4 linked regions of the Yarrowia lipolytica genome follow. The protein of the gene in region 3 interacts with the protein of the main gene of each other region in a pairwise test. Links are inferred from orthologs where the notes say so. Each region holds a gene or a part of one and is shown on either strand. Other genes may lie near its edges.

The links.
Region 1: the proteins of YALI1_E06882g (region 3) and YALI1_F17547g interact in binary tests that used the Saccharomyces cerevisiae proteins (3 or more experiments, as listed by UniProt). The link is inferred for Yarrowia lipolytica from reciprocal best matches to the Saccharomyces cerevisiae genes EBP2 and CGR1.
Region 2: the proteins of YALI1_E06882g (region 3) and YALI1_E32816g interact in binary tests that used the Saccharomyces cerevisiae proteins (3 or more experiments, as listed by UniProt). The link is inferred for Yarrowia lipolytica from reciprocal best matches to the Saccharomyces cerevisiae genes EBP2 and FPR3.
Region 4: the proteins of YALI1_E06882g (region 3) and YALI1_F08757g interact in binary tests that used the Saccharomyces cerevisiae proteins (3 or more experiments, as listed by UniProt). The link is inferred for Yarrowia lipolytica from reciprocal best matches to the Saccharomyces cerevisiae genes EBP2 and NOP12.

What each region holds. Positions count from the first base shown.
Region 1 is NC_090775.1:1,752,217-1,758,800, forward strand, and holds YALI1_F17547g (uncharacterized protein), read right to left. Parts: upstream 2,562-6,584; coding exon 2,190-2,561; downstream 1-2,189. Other genes in the region: YALI1_F17522g (uncharacterized protein), read left to right, coding at 53-1,654; YALI1_F17549g (uncharacterized protein), read left to right, coding at 2,738-3,679; YALI1_F17565g (uncharacterized protein), read left to right, coding at 4,309-4,445, 4,502-4,625; YALI1_F17569g (uncharacterized protein), read left to right, coding at 4,777-5,577; YALI1_F17581g (uncharacterized protein), read left to right, coding at 5,965-6,083, 6,138-6,312; YALI1_F17603g (uncharacterized protein), read right to left, coding at 6,339-6,584. UniProt on the Saccharomyces cerevisiae protein: Involved in nucleolar integrity and required for processing of the pre-rRNA for the 60S ribosome subunit.
Region 2 is NC_090774.1:3,278,533-3,285,934, forward strand, and holds YALI1_E32816g (uncharacterized protein), read right to left. Parts: upstream 3,069-7,402; coding exon 1,845-3,068; downstream 1-1,844. Other genes in the region: YALI1_E32776g (uncharacterized protein), read left to right, coding at 1-126; YALI1_E32792g (uncharacterized protein), read left to right, coding at 676-1,704; YALI1_E32842g (60S ribosomal protein eL6), read right to left, coding at 5,102-5,665. UniProt on the Saccharomyces cerevisiae protein: Proline isomerase that belongs to an abundant class of enzymes that catalyze the cis-trans isomerization of X-Pro peptide bonds and can accelerate the refolding of proline-containing polypeptides. Specifically binds nuclear localization sequences.
Region 3 is NC_090774.1:683,648-691,225, forward strand, and holds YALI1_E06882g (uncharacterized protein), read left to right. Parts: upstream 1-4,635; coding exon 4,636-5,802; downstream 5,803-7,578. Other genes in the region: YALI1_E06843g (uncharacterized protein), read right to left, coding at 1-743. UniProt on the Saccharomyces cerevisiae protein: Required for the processing of the 27S pre-rRNA. Probably involved in the step of the processing of the 27 SA precursor into the 27 SB intermediate.
Region 4 is NC_090775.1:872,280-880,282, forward strand, and holds YALI1_F08757g (uncharacterized protein), read left to right. Parts: upstream 1-3,427; coding exon 3,428-4,957; downstream 4,958-8,003. Other genes in the region: YALI1_F08745g (uncharacterized protein), read right to left, coding at 78-2,270; YALI1_F08784g (uncharacterized protein), read left to right, coding at 6,193-7,722.

The sequences.
Region 1 (6,584 bases), on a different chromosome or scaffold from region 3:
GAGGTGCAGAACCTAAGCATCACCACTTTTTGCACAGAACGACGTCGATTAAATGATTTCATTGCCGCCTGAAATCATAGGCAAAATCATCGGGCTGCTCGACCCGGTCTCGTTTCTGTACATTGGCCAGACGTGCAAGTTGCTGCGCGTTTTTTCCCGCAATGATACCGTGCTGACTGACCATCTCCAGACCCTCATGAACTGGAGAGGAAACGACGACGAGACACCCGAAGACGATGGAGAGCAGACACAGACACAGTCGGAGGACAACGACGACTCCGAACAGCTAACTACAACATCGCCGACGAAAACGGTGACTCCGGCTCCGCCGACGACTTACACAATCGATCTGTCGTCCACCCCACTATACTCCACCTATCTTAACTTGCTGCGGCAGAAATGGGTTGCTCGTCAGATGACCCTCAAGATCCACCTGAGGCTGTCGCCGGACTGCAGAGATACGTTTGCGTCGAGCTGGTCTTCTCCAGACGGCTCTCTGCTGTGTGTCTCGCTGGGGAAATATATTTTTGTCTATTCGATCGGAAGCGAAAAGTTTTGCAACAACATCCCGCCGCTCTACCTGTTTGGCTGGAAAACGGAGGAAGAAATTCCGCTGGTCACCTTCTCCACCGATAATGAATACATGGCCGTGGTGTTTGGGTTCGGAAGAGTGCGGTTATATTGCATGGAGGAACTGCTGTCCAAGTACAGAGGCGGCATCATTAACCTGGCCAACGTGCCGGCCAAGTACTCGAAACAGTTTCCGTCCCGGATCGAGTATCTGGCCGTGTCTCAGAAGGCCTTCATCATGTGGGTCAGAGCCAGGCGTCTGGGTGGACTCACAATAATCAATGTTGAGACCACAAACGAGATTGACGTGCCACATTTCCGTCTAGATCTCCGAATGTCGGCCCAGGCCCGTGACCAGGTCATGACACTGATTGGAAACCAGGAGGCTCTCATCTTCGGACAGGCAGATACTCTGGACGAGGAAGATTTTACTGAAGAAGGTGCTCTGTGGGAATACTACTGCACGCTTATGGAAACAAGCATGAGCACAAGTCTCAGTTGCGATGGAGTGCTTGCATTACTTACTCCTGGTCGCTACATTTGTGTCAAGCACCTACCGGACGAAAATCGCGCCCGTTTTGCATTAGCTACCGCTGAACTGGGAGTGACGGGCTCGCCGGAAGAGGAGCTGTCGGAAGATGAGGAGGATGACGATCAAAGAGCCCTGCTGTACATTAGTAATGTCAACTCGAGGGAAGACTTCAAATCCATCAAGTACTGTCTCTCCTGGGACTCCACAGCCATGGCCGTGTACTACAGACAGAGGATATCAATTATTCCCCTCAGGGGTATAGTCGAGGACCAGGTGCGTCTTCCTGTCAGTATGCCACCACGTCAAGTTCTTACAAGGGCAGGAGTCGAGCCTTTGGCTATGCAATACATTCAGAGCGACCGAATCATGTGTGTCTATGGATCGTCAGTTGAAGTGTTCCATCTCAACAGTTCAGCACATCCTCGCCACCCCCAGCATCAGGATGTGTTCCATTTGGCATCCAATCAGAATCCCCCAGCTCCCCCCGTTCCTCTGGACACGTTTGTTCCACAGATCAACCACACGTGCGGTTCGATCCTGTATCATCTATGAGATTACGGGAGCGAGGGAGAATCTGGTAGTGCGCATGAGACTGCCCAGGTCAGCCCCGCTCCACCAAAATCGGAGGAGGACAAGAGTCCTCTAAAGTAGCTGAGGATTATATGGTTCAGCACAGAGAATAGACAGACATTGTATAATGTTGCCTGATTAATAGATAGTGATTCAGTCACTGCGATGAAATTGAACGATTGGCTGTAGTTTGTCATCTAGGAGCAGTGAGGAATACATTCAATGGTTATACCAACGTACAAGTACTCGTACTGTATGTACTGTAGTTGTAGTTGCTTCCGTAGCAGTTCCATGTTGAGCTCACAGTAGCAAGCGGTTATACAAGAAGCAGAGATCACTCTTGATACTTATACACACAAGTACAAGATACCAGTATATCGCTGCTTGAATTCCAGTACTACAAGCGGAAGTTTCATCTGAACTCGTTCCCTCACGGGTACAGTATGTACTGCACTTCAATACTCTCCAAACCAGACAAATAACAGAGTGTCTATTTTTCAAAATAAATAACTATGGCTTAGTTTCGCTCTCGGAGCAGCTTGTTTCGCTTCTCCTTCCGCTTTCGTCGAGCCAGCTTCTTGGCCGACAGAATGGCAGTCATCTTCTCCAGTCGCTCCTTCTCCTCCTTGGCCATTCGGCGCTCCTTGATTCGTCGCACCTTCTCGGCATGCTCAGCCTCCTTTTCGTCCTTCATTTCCTTCTCTTTAGCCTTGATCATTCGCAGGTTTTCCCGCTCCTTTTGCCGTCGTTCCCACGATCTATGTTTCAGGGGCACACTGAGGCTCGAGGTTCGGAACGGGGTCTTGGTCTCCTTCCAGTTCTTGCCGTTGACTCGCACCTGAGGTGCCTTTCCGAGCTTGGGCAACTGCACTTCTTCTTGCTCAGACATTTTTCTTCCGTGTGCGTGCGTGGGTGTGTGTATGATGTGTAGGGCACAAATATTTTTTCTCTGCATAATCTGCGCCTGAATTTTGAGGGTTAGGGTCAAAAAATATCTTGAACCTTAAAAGTACAGTGCATGATTCGTGTGCCACTGTAACGAAATCTCAACCATCACGCGACTAAATGAAACTGAGGGTCAAACTGGACCGAATCTCGCTGCTGAGAGATGTTTTAAACGCAGCAATGGCCGTCCGCAAGGAGGCATACATCATCTTCGCCCCGACGGATGTGCGAATCGTATCGCCAGCCTCCAATGACGGCACCACCATCTCGCTGTTCGCCTACTTCACCGTCGACTACCTGTGTGATCCCAACCAGTACGTTTGTGTCAGTGCGTTTGACGACATGTGTGTGTTTTTGGTGAGTCTGGACGACTTTGCCCGGGCCCTCAAAAGCTCTAGTTCGTATCACATGGACGAGGTACGGCTCAGCTTACGTCAGTACCAGGGTCTGTTGCAACTACAAGTGCGAATCACACAGCATCGAGAAAGAGGACCCACGGTGGTGACACACAATCTTCCGGTGGATCCACGGAAACTAGAGGAGGAGAGCTACCTGCTGGTTCAGCCTGAAATCCAGCCACAGGTATACATCATGCTACCAAAACCTACGCTGAACATCGCCAAGCTCAGTGAGCGATACAAGCGGTTGGGCAAGCTCGTAACATTAAGTGCCAATAACTCGGGGTGCTTAAAACTGTCTTTGGACGCGGTCGATGTCAACGTGGAGACGGACTGGAAGGGGCTAATGAACCCGCAGCTAGACGCAGGTGAACAGGAGGAAGAACAGAGTCTACCATCTCAGGGATCGGGTCCCCATTCGTCACAGATTCGCTTCTCACAAAACTTCACTGGGGAAAGCCGTGCAAAGCCGAACAGCTCCGAGTTTGCCACCGTGTCTATTCCTTGCAAAGATTGGTGTTTACTCACCAACATGGCCCTAATTTGCGACAGTGTGGTTCTAGCCATCAGCCACGAAAGAGTGCTGACAGCTTATTGTTACACGGACCACCCCGGAGACACCAGCGGCTCTATCACTTATTACATGTCTCATATTGAGGAGTGACAGAACTGTGCGACGAAATGATCACAGCAATCGCTGGTACAATGACGTAATAGGCCTGCCAGGGGTGGCTTGTCGATTTACGCCTGCGCGTTTGTCGGTTCATCTCGTTTGCGCGTTTCATTTGCATCTTGTTTCACGGGACCCTCTGTTGCTCGGACCTATCTCTTTCAACATCACAACATAAAACAACCACCGGATCTATGCACTCCTGCATACATCACCACTATCTCCGGGCCATGCCCCGCCATCTGTTTGGGTTGAAAGGACACCTTAGTTGGGATTCAGTTCTAAATCTTGACCTGCCCCGATGATGTGCCGATCTGAGACCCCTCGATGAGAACAATTAACACAACCCCACCCGTTAAAAGTGTCCAGACAAACACGCCAAAGGAGGTAATTGCCGGGCTGGAACTGTCTCTAAAGCTACAGAATGCACTACCACGTTGATCTATAGTGGTTATCTACGACTAACGTTGCACAATTGGTTGCTTTTTCTCTGCTAGCACACCTGTGCTAGTGCGTCAGTTATACCAGACAGACTACGGCGAACCAACTAGTGCCCATCTCGCCAAGAGGAGCTATAACTTGGGGGTCAGTGGTCCAAGGAATACACATTCTCAGAACTTTTGATGCCCTCTACCTATGATTTATCCCTTTTTTCTATCATCATTCAGACCGCTAAAGTTTTACCCCGCCAGACGCATCCCAGCTTAAGCGAGCAGCACTACACTCAATTTACGCTCCTACTATCTCAATCTTATGCCGAGTAAATTGGGGGTCACACTTCGAAGCGTCAGGACTAGCGATAGTGGTCTGATGAAGGGATAGGAATTCATCAACCGACTTTGTTATTCATTTTGGCAAGTTGGAGCGAGTTTTCCAGACAAAGAAACTCGTTTATCCACCCATAACAGAATCCTCCACCAACACGGCTGACCAGGTATGAACCGTTTTTATATCGCTGAGACAAAGCTGACCGAGGGGTACATTTTCCCTTTTACCCCACATTCGGCCTTCGTTGCTTCTACTACTCTTCTCGTTGATATATAAAATGGCGTTTTGGGTCCTCTAATCTCCTCATCAGCCAACAATCATCAATGTCAGACGATCTGAAACCCCATACCTCCCACCCACAAGATATCGAGACTCCTTCTAGCCACCAGGACGAGCCTGTTGTGCTGGGACGGGTCCGTACTTCGGGAGAACGAGATGAATACATCCACATTGGCGGGGTCAAGTACCACCGAGACGACTTTGCCCGTGCCTTTGGTGGTACTCTTAACCCTGGTTCTGCACCCGTTCCCACTCGTCAGTTTGGTAACGCTGCTCCTTCTGGACTGTTTGCCTTCTCCATGACCATGTTCATTCTCGGCATGTGTCTTGTCAATGCTCGTAATGTCCATGCCCCCAATGTCATGGTTGGTTGTGCCTTCTTCGGAGGAGGTCTTATCGAAGTCATTGCTGGTATCTGGGAGATTGTGGCCGAGAACACGTTTGCCGCAACCGTCTTCTTCTGTTTCGGCGCCTTCTGGTTCTCCTGGTCCATGCTCAACTTCCCCATTGGTATCGAGAAGTACTACTCCACTCCAGACGAGTTTGCACAGTCCGTGGGCATCTTCCTCATGGGCTGGTTCATCTTTGCCTTCCTCATGACGCTGTGCACGTTAAAAGCAACAGTGGCCTTCTTCCTGCTCTTCATCTCCCTCGACCTGGCCCTCATCTTCCTGGCTGCAGGCTACTTCCAGAGCAACTCCAAGCTCACCAACGCTGGAGGAGGCTTCTGTATCTCTACAGGTCTACTTGGATGCTGGAACGGATACGCAGGTGTGGCTTCTCCACAGTCCACCTACAAGTGGCTGATCCCCAAGGCTGTGATGATGCCTGGAGCCCACCAGTGATAGCAACAGGTTTATTTAATGTAACGCAATCTCTACAGTGACTACTTGTCTGACCATTAATAAAAGTAATGCTTCCCTATCATTAGATTTCATCAGGCGCTTTTATATATATAAATGCGTGTGTGTGACCATTCGATATTGCTTCGTATTGCCCGTTTATGCTGTCTCACTTATAGTACCCCCGCAATTTTCTTAACTGAATTAAACACCAACCTTAACAAGTGAGACAAAATCATAACTAATCCCGTCGTCCGTCCTCACATTTATACACTCGGATATGTATAACTTGTCTGGTATCATAACAGAATATAATACAGAGCCCATATGACTCCATTGTTTGTACTGCATTTATAAAACGCCACAAACCCACGTATTTCAACCCAGCGTATGTTTTTTCCAACGTTTACAGGGCAGTCTGGACCCCCTTTGATCAGCTCCTACTCCAAAGACAATCGACAACCTTGCTATTGTTGGGCTCCTCTAGTCCGGTTGATCCAACAAACCAGGTGAGACAGTCTCAGGAGCCTCACTTCTTGTATCTGGAATGTCGTATAATCCAGGCTTTTAGAGACCCAGCTACAGGTAAAGCCGCACATATACAGTACACTCCCCTTTGGCTTACAAATCCCTCAGCCAACCACCACCGTCCAAATGACTAATCAGCTTTGCAATGCCCCCAGTCATCAACTGCGTCTGTGCTTCCAACCACGTATTGCCATCTCAGTCACTTATTGAATAAATACTGTCGAAATCGTTCGAAATCACCACAAGCTGGCTGCCCGGAAAGCCTTGCCTCGAGTCTCAAACTTCTCGCCGTAGTCGGCAGGCAATCCAGAATTCCACTGTAGAGACCCGTGTGTAGAGTACGCAAAGCCATCCTTGGTAATCGTCGTAGTCCCACGAACAGCTTCCCCGCCACATATTCCGCCCTTCATATCGTCGTCAGAATCAAACACATCCTCATCTGAAGGAATTTCGGGAAGAATAGCCTTCCGTCGCTTCTTTCG
Region 2 (7,402 bases), about 2.6 Mb from region 3:
AAGCATAGCAAGAGCGAAAAAAACGAGTTCCAGGACGTTCAGCAGGAACATTACCCCGAACAGCAAGAATACCCGGAACAGCGAGACGATGGGTCTTACGGAAAGGAGACCGAAAGCAGTGTTTAGAAGTCATATATAATGTATTATTTTGTTTTGAGCTACGAGAATCTAAGGCATGGGAGGCTACCCTAAGGCCCAGATGTTTGAGACATAGGACACTGAGACCAGACATTGTGAGACAGTACTAAATAGGTACTCGTGCAAGCACACATGCAAGTTCGAGACGGTACAATGTAGATACTTGTACGAGTACTCATTATGATGACACTCACAAGATGCTAGTATCCAGATCTAGACTGATGCACCCTCCGAAGCCGAATAAACAAGTTGACACTAGTAGCCAAGACTACAATAGTGCATGTAGCATCGTTGGATAGAGAAGAGTTCCTTGGGGAAGTGCTGTATTTATGAGTAAAACTAGGGATCGTATAACCATGACAAAATTACTGAGCAAATATCTCAAATCTGTCACCGACTCTCACTTTTCAAATTTATCGCCTTTAACGAACATGAACCCACATGTTTTTCCACCGAAATGCATCCTAACATACACTAAAACACAATGTCACAAGGACTTTTGCCAGACCTTTGGAAACCGCTCAAACAACTGAAAACATGCTTAACCACGATATTTGGACTCAGATTTTCTCTTTGGTCGACTTTCGCACCGCGCTGAACCTCAGATACTCGTGCAGAGAGCTCTTTCATCTGAGCAACGAACTGTCCGATGCAGTTTGGGCTCTATACCTGAAAGATATCGGGGGAGAGTTCTGTGAGAAGGCCAAAAACAGCGTCATTCGACTCAACAGACCTCTGGTTTTCACCACAGGACCTTTGACCAAGTGCAGTCAGAAGGCAGGTCCTCCTAGTCCGAAGGCTGGGTTCCTCAAACACCTCGTATACATACAAGGAGACGGTAAGATCGGGTATGTGGTGAACTATCGGGAATGGAGTGTTAAAGCGGTGGAAACTGAAGGAGGAACTGATACTACGTCCTGGTACTGTTTCTCTGAATTCAACAAGGAGTTTGAGTCCATCGCCCTAGAAGAAAACAGCGTGGTGTGGCAGAAACGACAGGGACCAGATTTGAGAGTCCAGATACCTATGAAATACCAAAACACAAGACACAAGCATCTCTTTAGAGCCTCGAATCCAAACCAGACCTTTGTCTATCTCCATAGATACTGGGAAGACTCAGAGGAAACAGACAAACAAGACTTTCTTAGTGACATACTGTTTGTGAACTGGAAGGAGAGGAGAATGAACTTGTTGGAAGGATGTATAACTATGGCTTCCGCCAACAGTGTCAATTGCGTCCTTATAAATGGACTGCTATTCTTCAAGGGACCTAACTACACTCTTCAAGTGAAGAACATGCTTACTGGAGAACATCATCAGGTGAGTCCCAATGGGGTGGAAATCGGTTACCATGATGATAGATACGTGTGCTACAACACTCTGGAAACAACACATGTGATAGATACACTCACTCTGTTAATCTACCCTCTGACTAATGTGCTATTCGACTTTCGCAGTGGAATTCAGCATATTGAAGGCCAGTTTATAAGCTGGTTGCACCCTGTAGTTGGTTCAGGCACCTTAAATCTCAAACCAGGCCAAGTCATGAACCTCAGTGACGTGTGACCGGGGTTAAGTACATTCACATCAACCTACATACAAGTATACTGCATACACCTTAACGTCTATATCAATAATACATTAAATACATACTTAACCAATATGTTTGTCTTGGCCAGTCGTTTGTGGGCTTGGAAGATAATCGCTTATTTGATGTTAACGACCTTAACATCGAAAGTAAGCTGGGAGTTGGGGGGGATACCGGGCAGCTTCTGCTTACCGTAGGCCATTCCAGGGGGGATAATGATTCGTCGCTCACCCTTGACCTTCATACCCTGGACACCAATGTCCCATCCTCGGATGACCTCGCCCTTACCGACAGAGAAGTAGAAAGGCTTACCCTTGGAGTTGGAGTCAAAGACCTTACCGTTGGCGAGCTTGCCAACGTATCGGACACCGACCTTGGAGCCGACCTTGGCGGAAGGACCCTCACCGACGGTTCGGTCCTCAATCTTGACACCACCCTCAAGCTGTCGGGTGACAAGCTTGGGCTTGGGCTCGGAGGGAGTGGGGCCCTGCTCGAGGTTCTTGGTGAAGGCAACCTTGGCCTTCTTGGCGGCCTTCTCCTGCTTCTTCTCCTCGGCGGCTCGCTTGAGGATCTTCTTAGGCTCGACAACGGGCTCTTCCTCCTCATCCTCATCGTCCTCATCGTCCTCGTCGTCCTGCTCCATGAGCTCGACAAGTCGCTCGTCACCGTTGATGACCTCATCCTCATCGGGAGAGAGATCGTACTCGCCTTCGTCGAGCTCGTCCTCATCATCCTCGTCGTCCTCACCGAGAGCAAGGAGCTCATCCTCGTCCTCCATGTCGTAGGGGTGCTCAATGTAGTTACCGGAGAGGTGGATGGCGTAGGAGCCAGTGACCTCGAACATGATCTGCTCACCGGGGGTGATAACGAGATCAAGAGTCTGCTGGTATCCAAACTTGGGGGAGAGAGTGCAGACAACAAAGTCCTCAATCTCACCCTCGTCGTCGTCGTCCTCATCGTCCTCCTCGAACTCCATCTCGTCGTCCTCGTCGTCATCCTCATCGTCGTCTCCTCCCTCAACCTCATCGAGACCGTCCTCGTTGGCGGCGATCAGCTTCTTGATCTGAGCCATGTCCTCAGCAGAGACTTCGTCATCCTCATCGTCGTCATCCTCGTCCTCGTCATCCTCGTCGTCCTCATCGTCGAAGTTGTCGGCAGGCTTAAGGATTCGGAGAGTGGCGGGCTCCTCCTCATCACCCTCAATTCGGGCGGGATCAATGGCAGCCATGGTGATTCGCACAGAAACAGGGAAGTCCTGCTCAATGGGGGCCACGGGAATTCCGGGGAACACGGCCAGGGTGTAGGAGGCCAGGGGAAGGCAGTTGTTGGCGTTGTTAGACATGGTTGTTGTGTGTGATAGATACAAAAGTGCAGACCCAAGTATTTAAAATGGGCAAATTTTTGGAATAAGGTTGCATATGCACTAAGAGCTTAACGGGAGTGCTGTACATTTGGCTGGAGCTCGTGGAAGACGGTGAAACCGTTATTGTGGCAATGGTGGGATCTATCGAGGTAATTGGTAGGACACATGCACCAACATACGTGTATATGACATGTAGAACCGTCCACTGCTGTTAGGCGATATGTCGTCTTTCGCAGCCCATCAAGGCACTCTCAAACCCAATCCATGGAAAATAAACGTGGGACTATTTGGACTTGGGACTTGGTGCTTGCAATCGTTGTTGGTTGTGTCGTCACGTAACATTTATAGCAACTTAGGGACATCTGGCAGAGAAGGCTGCTTGGTCCAGTAGTGTGGTAGCCTTGAATTGGTCATGTGAGATTGTGATTGGTCTGCATTGGTCGCCCCCATCTCGAGCAATGGCTTTTTTCGTTCCCATGGAACTCTTTGGAACAGCAACACCATACACATTATTCATGTAAGGCGTGCAGGATAAGGTGGCGGCGAGGTGAGGCAGAGATGGGAATGGATATTTGTCACATGTATAGGGGTTGGACTATGGCGGGTCACTATAGAATGTGTAACTGTACTTCTTCTCAGTCCATATAGCCATTTTTGGTCTTGTTACTCTTTTTTCCATCTCATTTCACCCCCAATACTTGCTGCTTTGTTGGCAGGCACCACACGGACATTGGGCGGCTGCTTTAAGTGAAACACCAACTGAGCCTTAACTAAAGACGACGGTTTTTTCACAAATCGTGGCCCACCAAAACTGGCTCCATGGACTGTATATAAAGCTGCACAGTGAAAAAAACAAAAAACGCACTCCACATAGACGATGCACTGATGACGTCGTACTGTAGATGAGGAGATACATGTTGACATGTTGTAGCAGAAGATGTGGTAGAGGTCCAGTTGGTGGCAAACACCCAGGTGGCGACTCAATTAATGCCATGGTGACAGAGGGGCTGTAATTGGTGTTCATTCTGGTGAGATACATTCCGCAGTGTAGCCACCAGAAGCTACGGGTCATGATAGGCGGTTGTACATTTGTAGGAAGAGTGTCCAAGTTGAGAGAGAGTGGTATCGCGAATGGACACCTACCGTACATGCTGTGTGAACAGCAACTGGCACCAATATGTCTGAGAGGTAAAGACGAGGGGAGCTATCTTAAGTCATCTACCAGGTCAGAGGAAACTTGCGAGTTTAGAAGGTCATTGTTTTATCAAGCCTAGTCCAGTATGACAGTTGTCTAAAAGTAGCATTTACAGTAACAAGGTCTGGACAGGTTGGTAATACAAAAAAAAGTGCAAAGAACACCAGTTTCCAATACTTCGACTCTTACTACTCGTGCCAGAAGAGCCATCATTGTTCTACTTGTAGGTAACTACAAGCAACATCCTCCCACACCCCAGAGCCACTAATGGATGCCCGCTTCACAACGGAACAACAGCGACCAGAGATGCATGGCAGTAGCAGTCTGAACAGCATGGAATGTATTTACAGAGAGAGACCGCAGCAACAAGCTACAAGTACAATGGTTCTTCACAGAAGACCGTTTGTCAAGTGAGTGATTACGTACAAGTGGCTTCCATGGTCTGAGTCGAACTCGGGACGTAAATATCGGTGAGTACATGTAAACACAGGTTCTAATACAGCACATCACCGCTAGTCAGCGCTGTTCAGCACAACGCCATCACCACAGGCAAGCATTTTGTGGAACAATTTATAAAATGCGGTTTACAAGTAAGAGCTACAGATACCAGTGCCTTTTTTTGGTTCTACGTGTGCACGCAGTCGTATATATACGCTCCTACTTTTGACTCCCACTTGTGGCTACGAGTACAAATAGTCGCTTCGCGCCTACTTGTAAGTAAAATTCAAATTGCATTGCTATACAGCTTTTGACAGACGACGGCTTCACCACCGTCCACCATTTTCCACCCCCATGTTCCATTTTGTGTTTTTATAATTTAAAACTTGAGCAGGTGGGGCTTGTCACCAGACTTGAGAGAGAACTGGGAAGCCAGGTACTGCTTGAGAAGAGGAGTCTTCTTGATCTCGGCAATGAGAGCAGCATCGACGTCCTTCTGGTCGGCGACTCGCTCGGCCTTGAGCTCCTTCTGCTTGCCCTCGGCGAAGAACTGCTTCTCGGCCTTCTTGTCGGCGGAAGATCGAGCGAAGTAGGCAGGGGTGAACTTGTCAGCCTTGACACCGGAGACATCGACCTTAGTGGAGGTGGCAATGACGTATCGGGCGTTGACTCGTCGGAGAGGGACACCGTTGACCTTGAAGGGACCGGTCACAAGGAGAGTGCCATCCTCAAGAGACTTGAGGAGAACAACTCGCTTGCCTCGGAATCGGCCGGCAAGGAGAATGAGTACGGCACCGGGAACAAGAGAAGGTCGCAGCTTGGACTTGTTCTGGACGGTGGGGATCTTGACGTGAGTGGGCTCAGCGACGTACCACTTGGGGGCCTTCTCAGTGGGGACGGTTCGGCTACCGCCGTTCTTGGCTCCTCCGATCTGCTTGGACATTTTTGATGTTTAGGGTGTTGAGGTGAGTGGAAAATGAGAGCGGTGAAAATCCACTATACCTGACGGCGGCCGATGCTCCGGAGCTGCATGAAAAAAGAGTGTACATCTGGGAATGGGAATGTGTGACTGCCTTTTGGCTTAATTGGGAAATTCACGTGACAGTTGGGAGGAAACAGAGCCAAAGTCACACCCTAACCCAGGGTTGGGAGGTACGAGAGGTTGCCTGTTTGGGACAGACCACTCAGATGAGGAAACAGTCCTAACCCTATTTAACCGAACAGGCACGGTTTGATTAGTAACGATTAGGGGATATACAGTGCTCTTTTCGCTTTTCCTGAGTGTCTTTTTGGAGCTCAAATGGCCTTCTCACAGCTGCTACTAAATTAAAGTTCACCAATCTCAGGAGTTAGAGTGGTTATGCAGCGTGATAGAGACCCTTCTGTGGGACACGATGCGCCATGCGACATAACGTGAGCTGCAGTTGGTGTTGCGGAGTACGCGGTTGGTTGCTGTGGCTCGGGAGGGCGTTGGGACGTCACGTGTATCAATATATGGTTGATATTGCAGTACGAGTACAAGTAGTCACCTGTAAAATGTCTATTAGGGCTGAGTGGTTATTAGTTAGAATTGGTTGAGTAACTAGCTAACATTAGTTGGATTTTACTTGTGCATTAGCGTGATTCTGTATTGTACTGTTTTTTTTTCTCCTTCTTTTTACAGTACATGAAATCCGTTCTTCTGTAACAGTAAGGAAAGAAGTTACTCATACTGTACTCATACAGTAGGGTTAGTTGCTGTCCAAGAACACGCGAGTATCCTCAGATGCTACTGTACATGTTGTATAGGAACTCCTTATGGGCACTGTCTAGGCTACACAACCATTCGAATCTATGCATATGCCACCATCGAGATCTACAGTACAAATACCGTACACTAATGGGTAAGGGAAGGCACTCCACACCCGAAGCCGACTGCTCGTAGTTGTACTGATACTCGCACTGGAACTAATGCAGAAAAAAATAATATATACCGCTTCTGTTTAAAACAATGGGTAGGGTTTGCCCGTTGCCGTTGGGTGACGGAGATCTCTCTGATGGTGATATACTAAGAAAAGCAGCCCAGCCTTGTCGCGCGGTTATTGAGACACAGCGCGTCTTTTGGGTCGGCGTACTGTCGCCGAAACCAAATGGGATTGGCTAGTATCTGGAGCAGATATCGTTCTTGGCGTAGGTTGTGAGAGTGTCAAGCGGCTGATTGATAAGGGTGTAATATTATAGGTGACATGTGAATGATATGTTGACACAATTACAATAAGCACCGAATGAACATGTACTTGTAATACAAGTACTTCACTTGTACCGGCACTTGTACACCTAAAAATGTACTGCATGAACATCACCATCGTTTGGGGGGTACACAAGGGGTTCGGATAGGTCCGTCAGCAATCTTCTGGAAGACAACTGCTTGAAACATGCAAGGTCAATCCTAACTCCCTGGCCACGTGGACTATAGCGGGTGAGTCGTATCGTCATTCTTAGGGCCGGAGACGGGCCTGTGTTTATGAGCCAGCCAAACTCTGAATCCTTCGGTCTTCGCCGTATGAGCCAAACGGGCAACTTTGAGTTTTTCCACCCGAAGATAGTGTACTGGTGAACTGTGTCATCAAACTGAAAATTGCTCGGGGGAGGCTCAAGCAATGAGGGAGTGACGTGTGTAACGACAACAGACCATGGGTTA
Region 3 (7,578 bases):
GCTCCAGAGTATCCGATAACCTGGTCAGCAGCCTCCTCCCAGTTGCTGTACACACCTGGTTGCCTGCCCTTCTTCACAGCAAACCAACGCTTCTTTTCAGGCTCCAGTTTCGCCTCATCAGATAGCAAGTGCTCAAGGAATGAGATCCGAGATGCAAACGGATCGTAGCACACATCCTCGGGAGACACGTGGTACATGCCCATCCACTCCTGGGCCTCTTGCACCGTCTCCAGCTTCTTCCATTCACTTTGGCTCATCTTGCCAGTCTCTCTGACCACCTTATCCCAATGCAAATAAATTCCAGGAACCAGCCCCTTTCGCACAGCAAAAACGCCGCCGGCGCGCGCAATCTGGGTCTCCATCTCAGCCTTGAGTTCTCTCTGTTCCTGACTCAAACTGGCAAGCCGCTTCTCGATAGTCTGTCTCAACACTGCCGAGGGAGCCAGCTCAAACTCCAAGGCATCCTTCTGCGACACAAACGTGTACATTTCGGTTGTCTGCTTGCGTCCAGCCTTGTTGCGTCCCTGCCGCTTCACTGAAAACGTCTCTGGGGGAGTCTGTGGCACTGCCCGCACCTCGGGAGGCGGGTCTCTCAAAAGAGTTGGAGCTTTCGGGTAATCTAGACGTTTGTACTTCTGATGGCGAAAGCCGGACGAGAGTGACACATTGCGAATAAATATGCGTATTGGGATCGTCAGCGGTCGCAACCTGATCATGGCGTGAAAAGTTGTAAAACCACTCATGCAATATTGGAACTTTGATCTGCTGCATGCTGATCAGCTACAGAGCAGGATGCGGGGGTGACAAAGGCGAAGGGAGTAGGAGATAGTAAAAGATGAACACTTTGATAGGATGTAGAAGTCTCTGTGGTTCAGGAATTCTATTTTTGCCTGTTTACTGGTCATATTCCACACATTACTTCACAGTATACCGTCTCGTTGTATGGAGAGTGACTCAGGAAGAGTCTCGGTAACGTCATAAGGCGGGAAATATCCTGAGGATCATTCTGATACCATGATACATAGGGTAGGGTATATTTCATTGTACTCGTGTTCAATAACTCCAACAGATCACCCAATACGTACGCTTGTATTTTTTTTTATTTTTTTTCTCACACTCAATTTTCCATTCCGAAAATGAACTGAAGTTTGACACCTACTTGTAGATGCAGAAACAAAAACCAGACACCAACCAACTTGTAGGCTGTCATTCTCGTAGTTGCAATAATGCTGCTGATGCTGATATGACAGGTGACAGAATCCAGTCTTTTTTATGCATTCTACAAGTACTGTAGGTGCTGTAACCATTATTGTAGTCCAATATCTCCGCTCGACAACTAGTCTAATTTCACCAAAAAATTTAGTTGGGGATTTACTCATTAACAAGTATTAACTGTTCGTTTAGTAAGTATGTGCATCTCTCTACTTGGTTTATTTTGGCCTTTGTTAGTTAGGAATGTCAAGTACAAGTAGCTTCGGTACGAGTATCAACTACAATGCTGTATCGAGCCGTACACACTGTATGGCGGCAAAATCACCCTCTCCACCTTACCAGTACATTCTGACCCACCCCTTTTGCCCCCTCCATGTTCTACCTCCCCCTTCACGACAACAATACGTCAAGTGTTTCAAATGCGGTTGAATTTCGCCTGATTTTGGAATTTCAGCAGCCCACCACCCCAACCTCGGCCAAACGAAAGCGGTTAATATGCGGTCGAATAATATCTGGAATATCTGGAATATTACGTCAGATTTTACGTCAAATGTTATCTACAAGTAGCAGCCATTTCCTTTTCTGTGTCAAAGGCTTCCGTTTCTAGCGTGACAGCTGTCGCCCACTCTACAGGGCCATGCAGGGAGACACGCGAATTAATACTGCGACAGTGCAGAGCGAAACTTCTGGAATCAAGCTGAAACATAAAAATGTACGACTCAAAGTCCTGCCTGCAGCACATTACAGTAGTACAGTATGTACAAGTGGGAGGACCGGTGGTTGTATGTACCGCATTTTTATGAGTAAAATATTGTACATACAAACAAGTACAGTACAGTATGCACTTTCACTTGTACACTGGCAGTGGGTCCCATGCGCGCTAGTGCCTTGTTTGTACACGCAAACCACTGTGGCAGACCTACCTCAACTCGTACAAGTGCTCTTGTTCTATACTTGACATCGCAAAGTATATACTTGGGTGTAGCAGTTGAGCACATACCCGCAATTGTATTGGTTAGAACGAACTGTCAAATCGGCTTTTACTCGGAGAAAAACACTCGTTAGAGTCCATCGTGTCACGTGCTTCACTCAACTCCAGACGCCCCTCAACACCCCTGTAGATGCATACAGGACCCACCTCATGCGCTGAAATGTACGATTTCAAGTGGAGTGCATGGTGGTGGAATCCTAGCGTACGTTATTGGGAATGTAAAGCGGGTGTCTCAGCTCCCCCTCGTCTGGTTCCGCGCTCTCTTCGACCACAGCAACTGGGGACCGCAACCATGGACACACACAGCAACCAGAAGGCGCAAACAAGTCGCAAACAAGTCGCAAACAAGGCACAAACAATGGCTTTTTTTTTTTTTTTTTTTTCTGCATAAACATTCATTTAATTATAACTTTGCTGTGAAAGAATAACCTTTGAAATGAATGTACGCTTACACGAATATTACTAATTAAACACGTTTAGTGTCATGGTCCAAAATGGCTTCTCTCACTATGGACTCTGTTTCCCCCAAACTCCAACAAATGCTAAACACACACTGTTTCACACGTGAAAGAAAATACACTCGGGTCCAACTCCACACACCCCTGTAACTTTAGTCAGACAAACGAACAGATATACAAGCATATTCCATGTGGCCATGTACACCTTGCGTGCAACCGAGAGCCTATCTGCGTTTGAAAAACAGAGTGTAGCGGAGACGATTTGGATTTTTCACAAAAAGCACCGGTCCATCTTAGTGTGTGGTCTGGTTGTTCAGAGTTGCACAGGGGTATCAGGGGTGTCTATGCTTGCTTTTTAGGCTGCTGAATCCTGCTAAATATAACGGCACTGCACGATAATAGCTTCAGATCCATATGATAGGAATATATCGTACGATACTGGATGGCGCTACCAGTTCTATACGAGCAGTGAGTGCTACAAGTGGTATTAGTATCACTGTGGCCATTAATTGGTGTCGGTTCTGTACATACAATGCCTCTATTGTTGGTTTTGTCAGCAGAGGTACTTTTTTGCAGCAAAACACTCTCTGATTGCACTCTGTCTGCACTCTGTTTGCACTGGGTAAGTGCTTTTCTCGTAAAGCTGATAAGGTGCTTTTGCCACGCTTTTTCAGCACCCCCATATTCTTGTCTATTTCCTTTTTGCAAACCCAGACTCAATATCTGCCAATATGGTGACAGGCATGGTGCATACGTACAGTATGTACCAGTTTTGCAGTTCAGTACGATCGTTAGATAGAGCACAATTGTATCACGGTGTCTTGCCGTGGAAAAGGTACGGAAACAAGGTGAATCTATTATTTATGATTGAACGGGGCTGCCGAATCGATATCTGGACTCCACATTGAGACCCCACTAGTTTACGTTCCCTGCTACATACTGTAAGCCAGTCTTCCTGAAATCATCGTTGCCAGCCTTTGCCCCAACTATATGCACTCCCTCAGTTCATCATATTCAAGAAAAATCACTCACAAATTCCCTCTTTGATGGTATTTCTTTTTTCGGGCCGCCATAAGGCGCAAACGGCCATCGACATTACAAGACACAGGGCTTGGTACTCGATGATAATTCTAACCTAATAAGACGAGATAGACGGCAAATTGAGTCTTTACGGCTGCTGAAGAGTTTGTTACTTGTGTGAGTGGGTAGATGCTTGCGGCACTGCAGCTACAGAGAAGTTATTTGCTGAGTGGTGCATTCCATCTTGCCATCTTCTGGAAACTACGATCTTATCTACAAGTAGTGATCTCTTTGTATTCAAGTTGATCTTTTTTGCGGGACCTATCAAGGTCAACTCTACCTGAATCAACTGTTGACCTCCATCCTACATCAGTGCCCATGTATGTAATAATTCATCACCAGCTTCTCCGATCAGAATCATTTGTATCGTCGGTGTTCAACAGATGCGTCTAGCTGGTTAAAGCTCGTATTACAGTATTGATTTACCTGGTGTGACTTCTTGGCAGGGCTCTTTGATCTATTTTCAACTTCACCACTTATTAATTTATCGCTATGTATTTTTTTCAAATATTTTCCAATTTCTCCCGTTAATTTGAGAAATAAAACCCCCCGCTTAATCATCTCTAAATCATGGCTCAAGTTTTTATCAAGGTGCATTAAGTTCAACGGGCAGGCGCTACTTGGAGGCGAAGAATAATTGAAAACAAATGTACTTGCTATTCTAATAAAAATACAGTAAAAATAATATTAAACATTTCATATCAATAATTGCAACCAGTAATTCGTTACATTTCAAATGTTTTCTCCCTTAAGAATCTCTTAAGAACAAGAACCAGTTAATCCTGTGCCTTCTCAGCTCCAAACTCTATCTGAAAAGTTTCTGGTTTTCCAAAAAAATTCCTCCCGTGCATAGTCTTATTTCCCACCCACCACACACACACACACGAACACACAATGGGAGCCCCCAAGTTGAAGGATTCTCTCAAGGCCGCTAAGGCCAACGACAAGGCCGCCAAGCTGACTGCCAAAAAGGGCGTTCTTCCCAAGCCCAAGGACCTGGCAGTAGTTGCCAAGCAGCAGATTGCGCACGAGGACGATGGAGATGATGAGGAGGACGAAGATGATGAAGAGGAAGACGAGGAGGACGAGGAGGACGAGGAGGACGAGGACAAGACTCCTGTTCTGTCTCGAAAGGAGGCTCGAAAGATGAAGAAGCTTGCTGCTGCTGCTGCTGCTGCCGAGGAGGACGATGATGAGGAAGACGATGATGAGGTTCCCCAGCTTTACGACACCACCCGTCTCGATCTGTCCGAGTCCGAATCCGAGATTGAGAATGTCGAGAACGAGGTGGAGGACATTCCCCTGTCTGATGTGGAGCTCGATTCCGACAACGACGCCATCCCCTACCAGAAGGTGACCAAGAACAACAAGCCTGCCCTGATGCAGGCCAAGGCTCGAATCTCGTTGCCCTACGCCAAAATGACCTTTGTCGACACCCTTGTGCATACGTCTGGAGCCATCGAGCTCAAGGACATCTACGACGACATGGAGAAGGAGCTGGCGTTCTACAAGCAGGGTCTGGATGCTGCCAAGGTGGCTCGAAAGGAGCTGCTCAAGGCCAAGGTTCCGTTTACCCGACCTCTGGACTACTTTGCCGAGATGGTCAAGTCCGACGAACACATGGAGAAGCTCAAGCAGAAGCTGATCGAGGAAGCCACCTCCAAGAAGGCTTCCGAGGAGGCACGACGACAGCGAGACCTCAAGAAGTTTGGTAAGAAGGTGCAGCACAACAAGCTGCAGGAGCGAGCCAAGGACAAGAAGGAGACTCTGGAAAAGATCAAGTCCTTGAAGCGAAAACGAGCTGGCCAGGAGATGACCTCCGAGGAGTTTGACATTGCCGTCGAGGAGGCGGCTGCCGACAACCATAATATTGAGGGCAAGAACCACAAGAGACAGGCCAAGGATGCCAAATTTGGATTCGGTGGCAAGAAGCGATTCCGAAAGGCCAACACCTCCGAGAGCTCGGGCGACCTGTCGGGCTTCAACCAGAAGAGAAATAACGCTCCTGTTAAGAAGCGTCAGCAGTCGAGACCCGGCAAGAGTCGACGAAACCGGGGTTAGAACAGGAAGGTAAAAGGAACTGATTATTCAGAGGTAATAGATTGAATGTTGAACTTATTACACGTGTACGAGTAGCATACCCACTGTAGATCTGCAAAGCTAGATGAGGTTGAAAACGTAAATACTGTAGCGACGAGATAGCGAAGATGATTTGATAGGGTACAATAGCGAGTACGAGCACAAGTACCCAGTGTGTGATCTACATTGAAGGGGTATAACTTAAGCTACAAGTACAAGTACAAGTACCGGTATAATGAGGTGGGGTCCATTTGTGTATGTGTACGTATTACTAAGTCAACATGTCAACATACAAGTACATCTTGTACTAGAACATACTGCAATGTTTCACAGTGTAATCTGACTCCAATGTGATACAGTGATGGAGATGTGACTCAGCTGTGGCTCAAGCCCTGACACCGACAATAGACATAGAGTCATGCTTTTGACTGACACTTTGCACCATGACCAACCTTTTGCCCACCTAACGACTTGTGCTGGATAACACAGGCCACGCACCAGAGCACCAGGTAGACTCGGACCAATTCAAACGGGTAACGGCATTGTTCTCTTTGCAGGCCTGAACTCAACACAGCAACCCTTCGGACCGTTGTTCTCAAGGTCAATGTCATCCAGCAGAGCCGTTCATACCCAAATTCAATTGATCTAGTGAACCCTGGTCACTATGGTGATGTGTCACGAAAGGCTGTCCCGATTGAGAGCTTTCGCCCACCAAATCGAGTTGTATCGTCTCACACCTTACAACACCGATCTCACACTTACCTCATTGGTCTTACTTATCTCACACCCATCTCATTTATCTCACACTTGAATAAGAACTTGAGACCGACGAAACGATCCAGGTCTCTCCCTTTATCTCTTTTTTTTTTTTTTCCTTTTATTACTAGCTTTTACACTTTTTCATGGGTTATTGCGGGGAGCCTATTAAAATGGTCTATAACTTCAGGAGGGGAAATAGTGCACAAAGGTACAGTTGTTACCATATCAGGGTGGGTTAGAGTCTCATTAAGGTAAAACACTCGTGGAGTTCTATGTGCGGATTTGTTGCTGTAGCTGTTCGAGATGAAAGTAGAATGAGGTTCCAGTCGGATCTTCCGGAAGGTATTTTTCGCCGATCTCTTCTGATCTCGCGTGGCGTGTACTTAAAGCCGAGTGATGTTACTTCGGTTAGAGTTGACACCCTTGCAGTCCTGCAGACACGACAAAGGTGTCAGTTCGATTCTTGGTTGCGCAGACAGAAAATTATCACCCTCATTAGTCGAAATGGCCTGACAGAAGCTGCAGAGAAGAGCAGCCAGGTCTAAAAATTTACCCGAATTTTTAGTATGCCGGAATTTCGGCCCTTTTCTGGTTCAGATCCATCCCAGCATCATCTCGTTATATTTATACTTGTACCTTTTATACAACCGTACCTACGTATATGTCAGTCACTTAGCTCCCGCAACTCATTTTTCATAGGCGCAGGGTGTGGCGTTCAAAAGTGTCCAGTGAGTGAACCCCAAGTTTGACAAGTAACATACTGACCATAAGCGCTCATTGAACAACCAACAGTGTGTCACTCCCCTGTGCAGCAAGCCAGTTCGTAAAGGTCAACCATTGTATACGATGCTGCATCCAAACGATGGTTGGTATGCAATATTGGCAAAAAGCAGACCACCTGTCAAGTTGGTTGCTCTTCTCAGCGGTCTCTTTTGTTGAACTGGAACATGTGAGATAGCCAAGAGAATGTGTCACATCTCTGGAGCAGCGAATACAACT
Region 4 (8,003 bases), on a different chromosome or scaffold from region 3:
TGATTGGAACATCGCGACAGTAAGATCAAATGAGATCTCTTGTGCGCTGTAGCTAGTAGCAATTGGGCGACGCCTCGTCACTCGTGCTCCTCCTCCCTCTTCTGATACATATACGGCGGTGGCAACACCTGCCCATACATCTGAGGATGTCCGTACATGGTCTGCGGCGGAGGCAGAAGATTGCCACCCTGGTAATACGGCACAGCAGGGTACTGGTACCCTCCGTATATTGGCGGTCCCTGATGGTACATGGGATGCTGCATCATGAGAGGCGCGCCTAGTGGCAGAGGCATGTGTTGCTGCTCGTGTCCGTTGAGTCTGTGTTGACCCATGGGAGGCGGCGTGGGCTGATGCTGATGCTGCTGCTGCTGCTGCTGCTGTGGAGGTGGTGGGGGAGGTTGGTGCTGTTGCTGTGGAGTCTGCTGGTGAACCTGCTGCTGGGCAGTCTGTGGAGGCGGAGGCTGTTGCTGTGGCACCTGTTGAAGAGGCGCAGGTTGCACACCCATAGGTTGCATGATTCCCGGAGGCACGGGGAAGGCTGCATGAGGAACAGGAGGCCGCTGGAGCCCCAGAGCCGTCAGATCCTCGTTGGTCTCGTCCTCCGTTGCCTGAGAAATCACAGGCGCAGCAGGGAAACCAACGTACTTGGATATTCCAGACAAGAGCGAAATCTCGTTCACCTGAGCGTTCCGCTGATGAATCTGCTCGCTCTTGCTTTCAGGGATAGTGTAGCCGTAGTCGGGAACCATGAGATCCATGGCCCGTCTCTCCCGGTTGACTCTATACCACTCTTCGGTCGTCTTGAGCAACAAGCCGCTTCGGGCGTCACCCTGATCCTTGAGAAACTGCTGGTGAATCTGCACACGCGACGCACGTGTCTGGTTGTTGATGCACTGCAGCTTGTATTTGCGACGCGTCTTGGCCAGTTTGATCTTGTCGTCACGCATCTTGGAGATCTGCTCGTAGACCGCATGCAGCTCGGGATGTGTGCCCTTGACACAGAGCCCCATTTCCACCTCAAACGCCGCCAGCTTCTCCTTGAACATAAAGTCGCGGAGCTTGGCGAAATCGACCTCGATCTCGGCGAGAGACGTCATGGCCGCAGGCCGCATGTCGACCTTGTCTGCGTCTGCGGGAGAGTCTTCCTTGTCATTGTCGTCGCCTTCGCCTTCCTCGTCGCCCTCGTCTTCCACCTCCTTTTCCTCGTCTTCGTCTTCGTCTTCGTCTTCGTCTTCGTCTTCATTCTCCTCCTTGTCCTTGTCCTCCTTGGTCACCTCCTCCTCTTTATCTTCCTCGTGTTCATTGTCGGAGGGCTCAGTCTGGTTGATGGGCGTAGGCATATCCTTGGTTTCGTTGGCGTCCTTATTGTCGACATCAGCCGTTTCTGATTCCTTGAGCCCCTCCTTGGCCTCGGCCTCCTTAGACTCATCCACAGCCTCTCCTTCCTTCTCAGAGATATGATTCACCTCAGGCTTGATGTCCTCAACAGGCACGGGCAAGGGAGGCGGTACTTCCTCGAGAGCCGAGGCAATGGCACTGGCAGTGATGAGCCCGGTGTCAGGACCCACATCTCCACCTTCTCCTTCTGCCTTGGCTGTGGTATCCACATCCATTCGGGCCGTTGTGTCTTCTTCTCCAATGTCATCATTTTCGTCGGTTTGACCATTAACTTTGGCCCGCTTAATATCTCTGTCATCCTCCTCATCGCGTTCACGCTTCATCTGCCGGATGTGGTCTTCCGACGACGATTCGCGCCGGCGCTTGAACGACTCTTCCTCTTCGTCGACCAGATCGTTGAGATAGAGCCGTTCGGTTTCGGCCTCGGAGTCCTCGAGTTCCGAGAGCTCGGACGAGTCGTCGCTGAGGTCCGCGGGGTTGAGCAGACTTGCTTTTCTGCCGTTGGACGTGGGCAGCGGCATGTCGTCTGTGGAGACAATGCTCGCGACCGTGGCAATACCCGAGTCGGCGTGCTCGGGATGCGTCACGGAGCCCTTGTCGCCCGCCGATTGTGTGTCTGTAGCTGTAGGTGGGGCTGTGGCCGTAGCCGTGGCCGAGGTTGCGGTTGCTCCTGTCGATGGAGACGGAGAAGAACGGGTCTTCTTGTCAGTTGGTGTGTGTGTGTCTCCGTTTGTGCCTGTGTCGTGGTCCTCTGCCACGTCATCCTTCAGCTCCTTGGCTTCGTCCTCATCGTGCTGCTGCAGGTCCAGCATGGCCTCGGAGTCGAGCTCGGATAGCGGAGACGTGACCATGTCGTCGTCGTTGGCGGTCATCAATTGGGTCGGTGTCGGGTTAGCGGCGTGCTCGCTTCCGGGTCTTGTAGAGAGCTAACACGTGACCTGTCGTTCTTTTCTCGGTCACCGTCGTCGCTCGGGTGTCGTGTGGTAGTGAGTGAGTGAGAAGAGAGAGAGTAGTGTAGTGGAGCTGCCGACTATGTTTTTTACTGTTGATAACAACGCAAGTCTTTTCCACCATGCACCAAACCCAGCTAAGTTTGGTGCGCATACAAGACGTGCGGAGAGGAGCACGTTATGGGAGAGAGAGTCGACAGAGGGCGAATAGTGCACATGCTGGGCCAACCAGGTTCCCAGAAGGGCTGTCTGGTGGTTCTGACAACTCGATTGACCGGCTTTTTGTCGTCTCCTCCCCTCTCATCACCACCGTATGGAGTCCCTGCAATCGTCTTCTTTTTTTTTCCCTTTTTTTCCTTCTTTTTTTCTCCCCTTAAAATACAACCATCATCCCCCGCCAAATCCACGCCCTACCTTGCTCCCATTTACACACACGATCATACCCAACCATGCCTCCCACCACATCCCAGGGGATAATCGACGTCAGATGATCGCCGGAAAGCCACCATGGACTCCAATCGACCGTCGCTCGTCGGTGTCGAAATTTGGCGCCGTTCCGTCCAGCCAATCTTCATATAATCGCCCCTCAGCCCCCCCTGGCAGCCGTGCCCCCACTGCCGTCGTATGTATGCAGAGCCACTCATTGGTTGACGGGACAGCGGCGCGTGTCAGAGGGTGGTGGAGAAGTGAGTCAGGACTGTGGTTAAGAAACGCGTCAAGGCTGAGGTTGTCGAAAGCTGGCACCGGAGGTTGATGATTGATGGCTTGGGTTGGATCGTGTTTAGAGGAGGAGATGCATAGGTTATGAGTATTGCTATTTGTGTCAGATTATGACCTCCTTGAGCCTTGCTAACGAATATAGTGGGGATACAACTGAGACGCCTGGGTCCCTTGGCCAAACTGGCGACCGGCTCTCTTTTATTCTAGCCGTAAATCGAGAGAGGGCTAGTTGTACTATTACACTGGACGCCTCCCACACAACCTTTATATGGTGTACATGTCTCATGCAAAGTTTGAATTTTTTTTGGCAAGAGTTTGAACAGAACAAGTGAGCTCAATCATTTGACCATCCAGCGACAATGACCACCACAAAAGACAACTCCGGACTCGCCGCGCTCTTTGCCAACTCCAGTGGTCCTCGTCAGAAGCCTCAGCGCGCTGGCAAGGTCGACCCGGTGCGTGACCAGCAAGAGGATAAGATGGAAGTAGAGGATGAAGAGGAGGATGAAGAGGAGGACGAAGAGGACGAAGAGGAGGATGAGGAGGATGAGGAGGATGAGGAGGAGAAGGAGGAGGACGACGACGACGACGACGACGAAGAGGAGATCGAAGAGCCTGTTATCAAGAAGAGCAAGAAGAACAAAAAGTCCAAGGAGGAGTCGGCCGACTTGGAGGATCAGTACATGGCCAAGTTGGCCGAGGAGGTGGCCGAGGAGAAGCCCATGGTCGCAGAGACCTCCGCGGAGGAAATCAAAGTCGATGAGCCCGAATCCGATTCTGAGGACGAACCCGAGCTGGACGTGGACGAAGAGACCAAGAAGAAGCTGGAGGCCACCAACAAGGAGCTGGACAAGGCCGACTACACCATTTTTGTCGGCAACGTGTCGTCCGAGGTGATCACCGACAAGACCGTGTACAACAACTTCAAGGCTCTGTTTGCGGCCATTGGAACCGTGGCGTCTGTGCGGTTCCGGTCCATCTCCTTCTCCAAGCTGCTTCCTCGAAAGGTGGCTTTCATTTCCCAGCAGTTCCACTCCAAGCGAGACACGGTCAACGCTTACATTGTGTTCAAGAACGTCAAGTCCGTCAAGGGCGCTCTGACGCTCAACGGCTCGGTTTTCAAGGGCTTCCACATGCGAGTCGACTCCGTGGCCCATCCCGGCGCCCAGGATCACAAGCGGTGCGTGTTTGTGGGAGCTCTGGACTTTGAGGAGCAGGAGGAATCCCTTTGGGAGGCCTTTTCGTCTTGCGGTGATGTGGAGTACGTGCGAATTGTGCGGGACCCCAAGACCAACGTTGGCAAGGGGTTTGCATACGTGCAGTTCAAGGACGTCAACTCGGTTGAGCAGGCTCTGCTGCTCAACGGTAAGGGCATCAACGAGCTCTCCAAGTCCACCACTAACAAGCGCAAGCTGCGTGTGTCGCGGGCCAAGAGCCAACACTCCCAGGAACGGGCCAAGCAGGCCGACATGAAGAACATTCGAAACGCAAAGACCGAAGGCCTGTCCCGAGACGAAAAGTCGCACTTTGGCCGGGCCCAGTCGCGGCTAGGCAAGGCCGGCAAGGCTCAGCTACAGTCCATTGTACAGGAGGGTCTGCGGGCTAAGAAAGAGGACGGCAAGGTCAACCTGGCCCGAAGCAAGCGACGAGGAGTCAAGCCCAACAAGAACCGAGTCGAGAAGCCTGGCCAGTCCAGAGCCGAGAAGCGAAAGGCCATGTTTGGAACCCCCACCAACGGCGCTCCCGGAGCTGGCGGCAAGAAGAAGCGTCTTACAACCCGATCCCAGAAGTTCAAGCAGGATGGAGGTGTCAAAAAGGACGGAGACGCCAAGAAGGATGGCCCCAAGAAGGAGAGGGATGGCTCCAAGAAGGGTTCCAAGAAGAACTAATTGGGTAGAGGTTGTATAGGTGAAAATAAATAGGCATTAGATTATTGTATTGTATTGGGGAGTAGGGTGGCAGTAGGGTAGCAGTTGAAGAGTTATATAAGAGTGTGGGGTTTACAGATGTGGTGATGGGGGAGTTTGTAATAGAATCACCATGTAATTCTCATCATAATGGTCATCTCTTCCAACAACACCATGAATCTCAGCTTGGATGCTAGAGGACGCAATAACGGGAGATGAAGAGTCGTCCGAGTACGGGCAGGTCCATGTTCAAGATTAGAAAGGTTTCTTTCCTGTTTCAGAGTCCTACTTTATCTCTCCCTCGAATTAACCACTACCTGGAACGTTGAGATTATCAAGTAATTGTCAAGTAAATTATCAACTACAAGGACATTATTGTTACTGGAAAAATCAGCATGAAAGCCACCCATATCCATGGTTCATACAAGTACAGTACTTTCATCGTATACGCCTCAAGAGATACCATAAATCACATGACTTCCACCGCCTGCCACCCTCCACGAAATCACGTGCCATATACCCCTTCCGTATATCCGATGTAACTGAATAACGGTATGTCCATGCTGTACTTGTACTGGTAGTCGAACTGTAGATCTTGTGGGTAAGATTTTGGTGGCGAACAAGACCATCACAATGAGACCAGAAAGAACCATTGACTGGGTACAAGTACAAATACAAGTATAAGTTCTTGGGGCGAGGCTCATCACGTGACACACCCGCGCTATATCATTCCCGTGTCACGTGACAACGCCGGGTTCCCGCAGCTCATCCGCTCCATCCGGGACCCACCTCAGGAGGAGTTTGTAATTTCCGGAGTTCGGAGTCCGTGCTTAAAAATAGCACGCTGTAAGATAACCGCGTGCATCCACACAGCCACAGTGCGAAGTGTGAGGATCAATCAGTCTGAAAAAAAAGGGGTTCAATGAATGTGAGAGCAATTTTAGAAGAGATTGGGGGGTCTTTTGGGGCTGTGAAATACAACTCCGCTTTTATTTGGCCCCCAAAATGGGACTAAACGGCCTCATCACGACCCTTCTCTTCTCCCCTTCCATATCACACGACTTGCACCGATAACGCAATCCCCACCCTTTGCAACCTAAAAAAAGAGTGCCGTGTAACCACAAAGGTCTCGCGTCTGTTGTTTATATATAGCGTAGGGTCCGACTTTGGCGACCACCAAATAGTTTGCCCTTCTTCTTTTTCTTCCTCTTCATATCATGGGCTCCTCTCCCTCCAAACAAGCCCAATCGGACGCGCAAAAGTCGCTAACCCGGCTGTCCAAGGTGTCTGAAAAGCACTTTTATCCTGACACCGCCACTCCCGACTTGGCCACTCTTCCTCAGCTACAATCCCTGCCGGATATTGACGGTCTGGATCTCAATGGAGACAACAACGAGAAAGACATTGCCAACCTGCTGTCTGAGTGGCGAGCCAACTTCCTGGACTCTCCCAAGAACCGTCTGGCTCTCGCAGCTCTGTCCAGAAGTGACTACCAGTCGTTGCTGATCCAAGACGACAGATACAATGACCAGAACCCTGCTGTGTTCACTCACGTGATCAAGTACGACGGCCAGAAAGACACCCCCGTGACCAACCAGCGCTCTTCAGGAAGATGCTGGCTGTTTGCCTCCACCAACGTGTTCCGAGTCCAGCTCATCAAGTCGTCAGCCATTAAGCCCAAGGACTTCCAGTTCTCCCAGGCGTATCTCTTCTTTTACGACAAGCTGGAGAAGGCGTCGTATTTCCTGGAGCAGATCATCGACACCGCCGACGAAGATCTCGACTCTCGACTGGTCCAGGAACTACTCAAGGCTCCTGTCAACGACGGAGGACAGTGGGATATGGTTGTCAATCTGGTAGAGAAGTATGGTCTGGTGCCTCAGGACGTGTTCCCCGACTCATGGAACGCCCAGAACTCCGGCCATCTCAACTACTTGCTTACTAACAAGCTGAGAGAGTACGGTCTGGCTCTCCGAAAGCTCATCCAGACCGAAAAACCTACCCCTGAGCTGCTACTCTCCCTGCGACGACAATACACCCAGAACGTGTACAACATTCTTGCTACTTCTCTGGGAGTGCCTCCTGCTGCTAACGAGACCTTCAAGTGGGACTACTGGACCATTGATGGCAAGCCCCAGCAGGTCACCACCACCCCCATCAAGTTCTACAGAGACAATCTCAAGCACCCCGCCTCGCAGTACTTTTCCCTCATCAACGACCCTCGAAACGACTACAAGCAGTTGTATACCGTTGACCGGCTTCAGAACATTTCTGGAGGCCGTCCCATCACCTACGTGAACGCCGACATCTCCGAGCTCAAGAAGGCCGCCATCAAGATGATCCAGAACAACGAGCCTGTCTTTTTTGGTTCTGACGTGGGCCAGTTTGGAGACCGAGCCACCGGTATTCTGGATCCCAAGTCGTGGGATTACGATCTGGGCTTCAACACTTCTCTGGGAATGAATAAGGAGCAGCGAGTGTCCACTGGAGCGTCGTCCATGACCCATGCCATGGTGATTACCGGAGTCCATCTTGAGGACGGAGTACCGGTTAAGTGGAAGATTGAAAACTCGTGGGGAGCTGACACCGGAAAGAAGGGCTATTTCCAGATGTCGGATAAGTGGTTTGACGAGTACGTGTTCCAGGTTGTTTCTTCTGCCCAGTACGTTCCCAGAGAGCTTCAGCAGGTGCTCAAGACCAAGCCCAACGTCCTGCCTCTGTGGGATCCCATGGGAGCCTTGGCCTAAGTGGGGTGTGAGTCTAGTGTTAGATATAGCTGGTCTATGTGATGAGTTGTGATGAGATGCGGCGAGATGAATAATAAAGTGGTAAAGACGAGTAATCGTACCACAAACGCAAAAGCAAGTACAAGAAGAGCAAGTACAAGAAGAGCAAGTACAAGAACCAGAATGATACGTACAAGTAGTACTACGGTATGCACTTGTAGGATAACACCTACACCCGATACTGATTCGTACGGGTACTTTACCAGTATCTCTGGTGATGAACACGGTATATTGTATCAAGC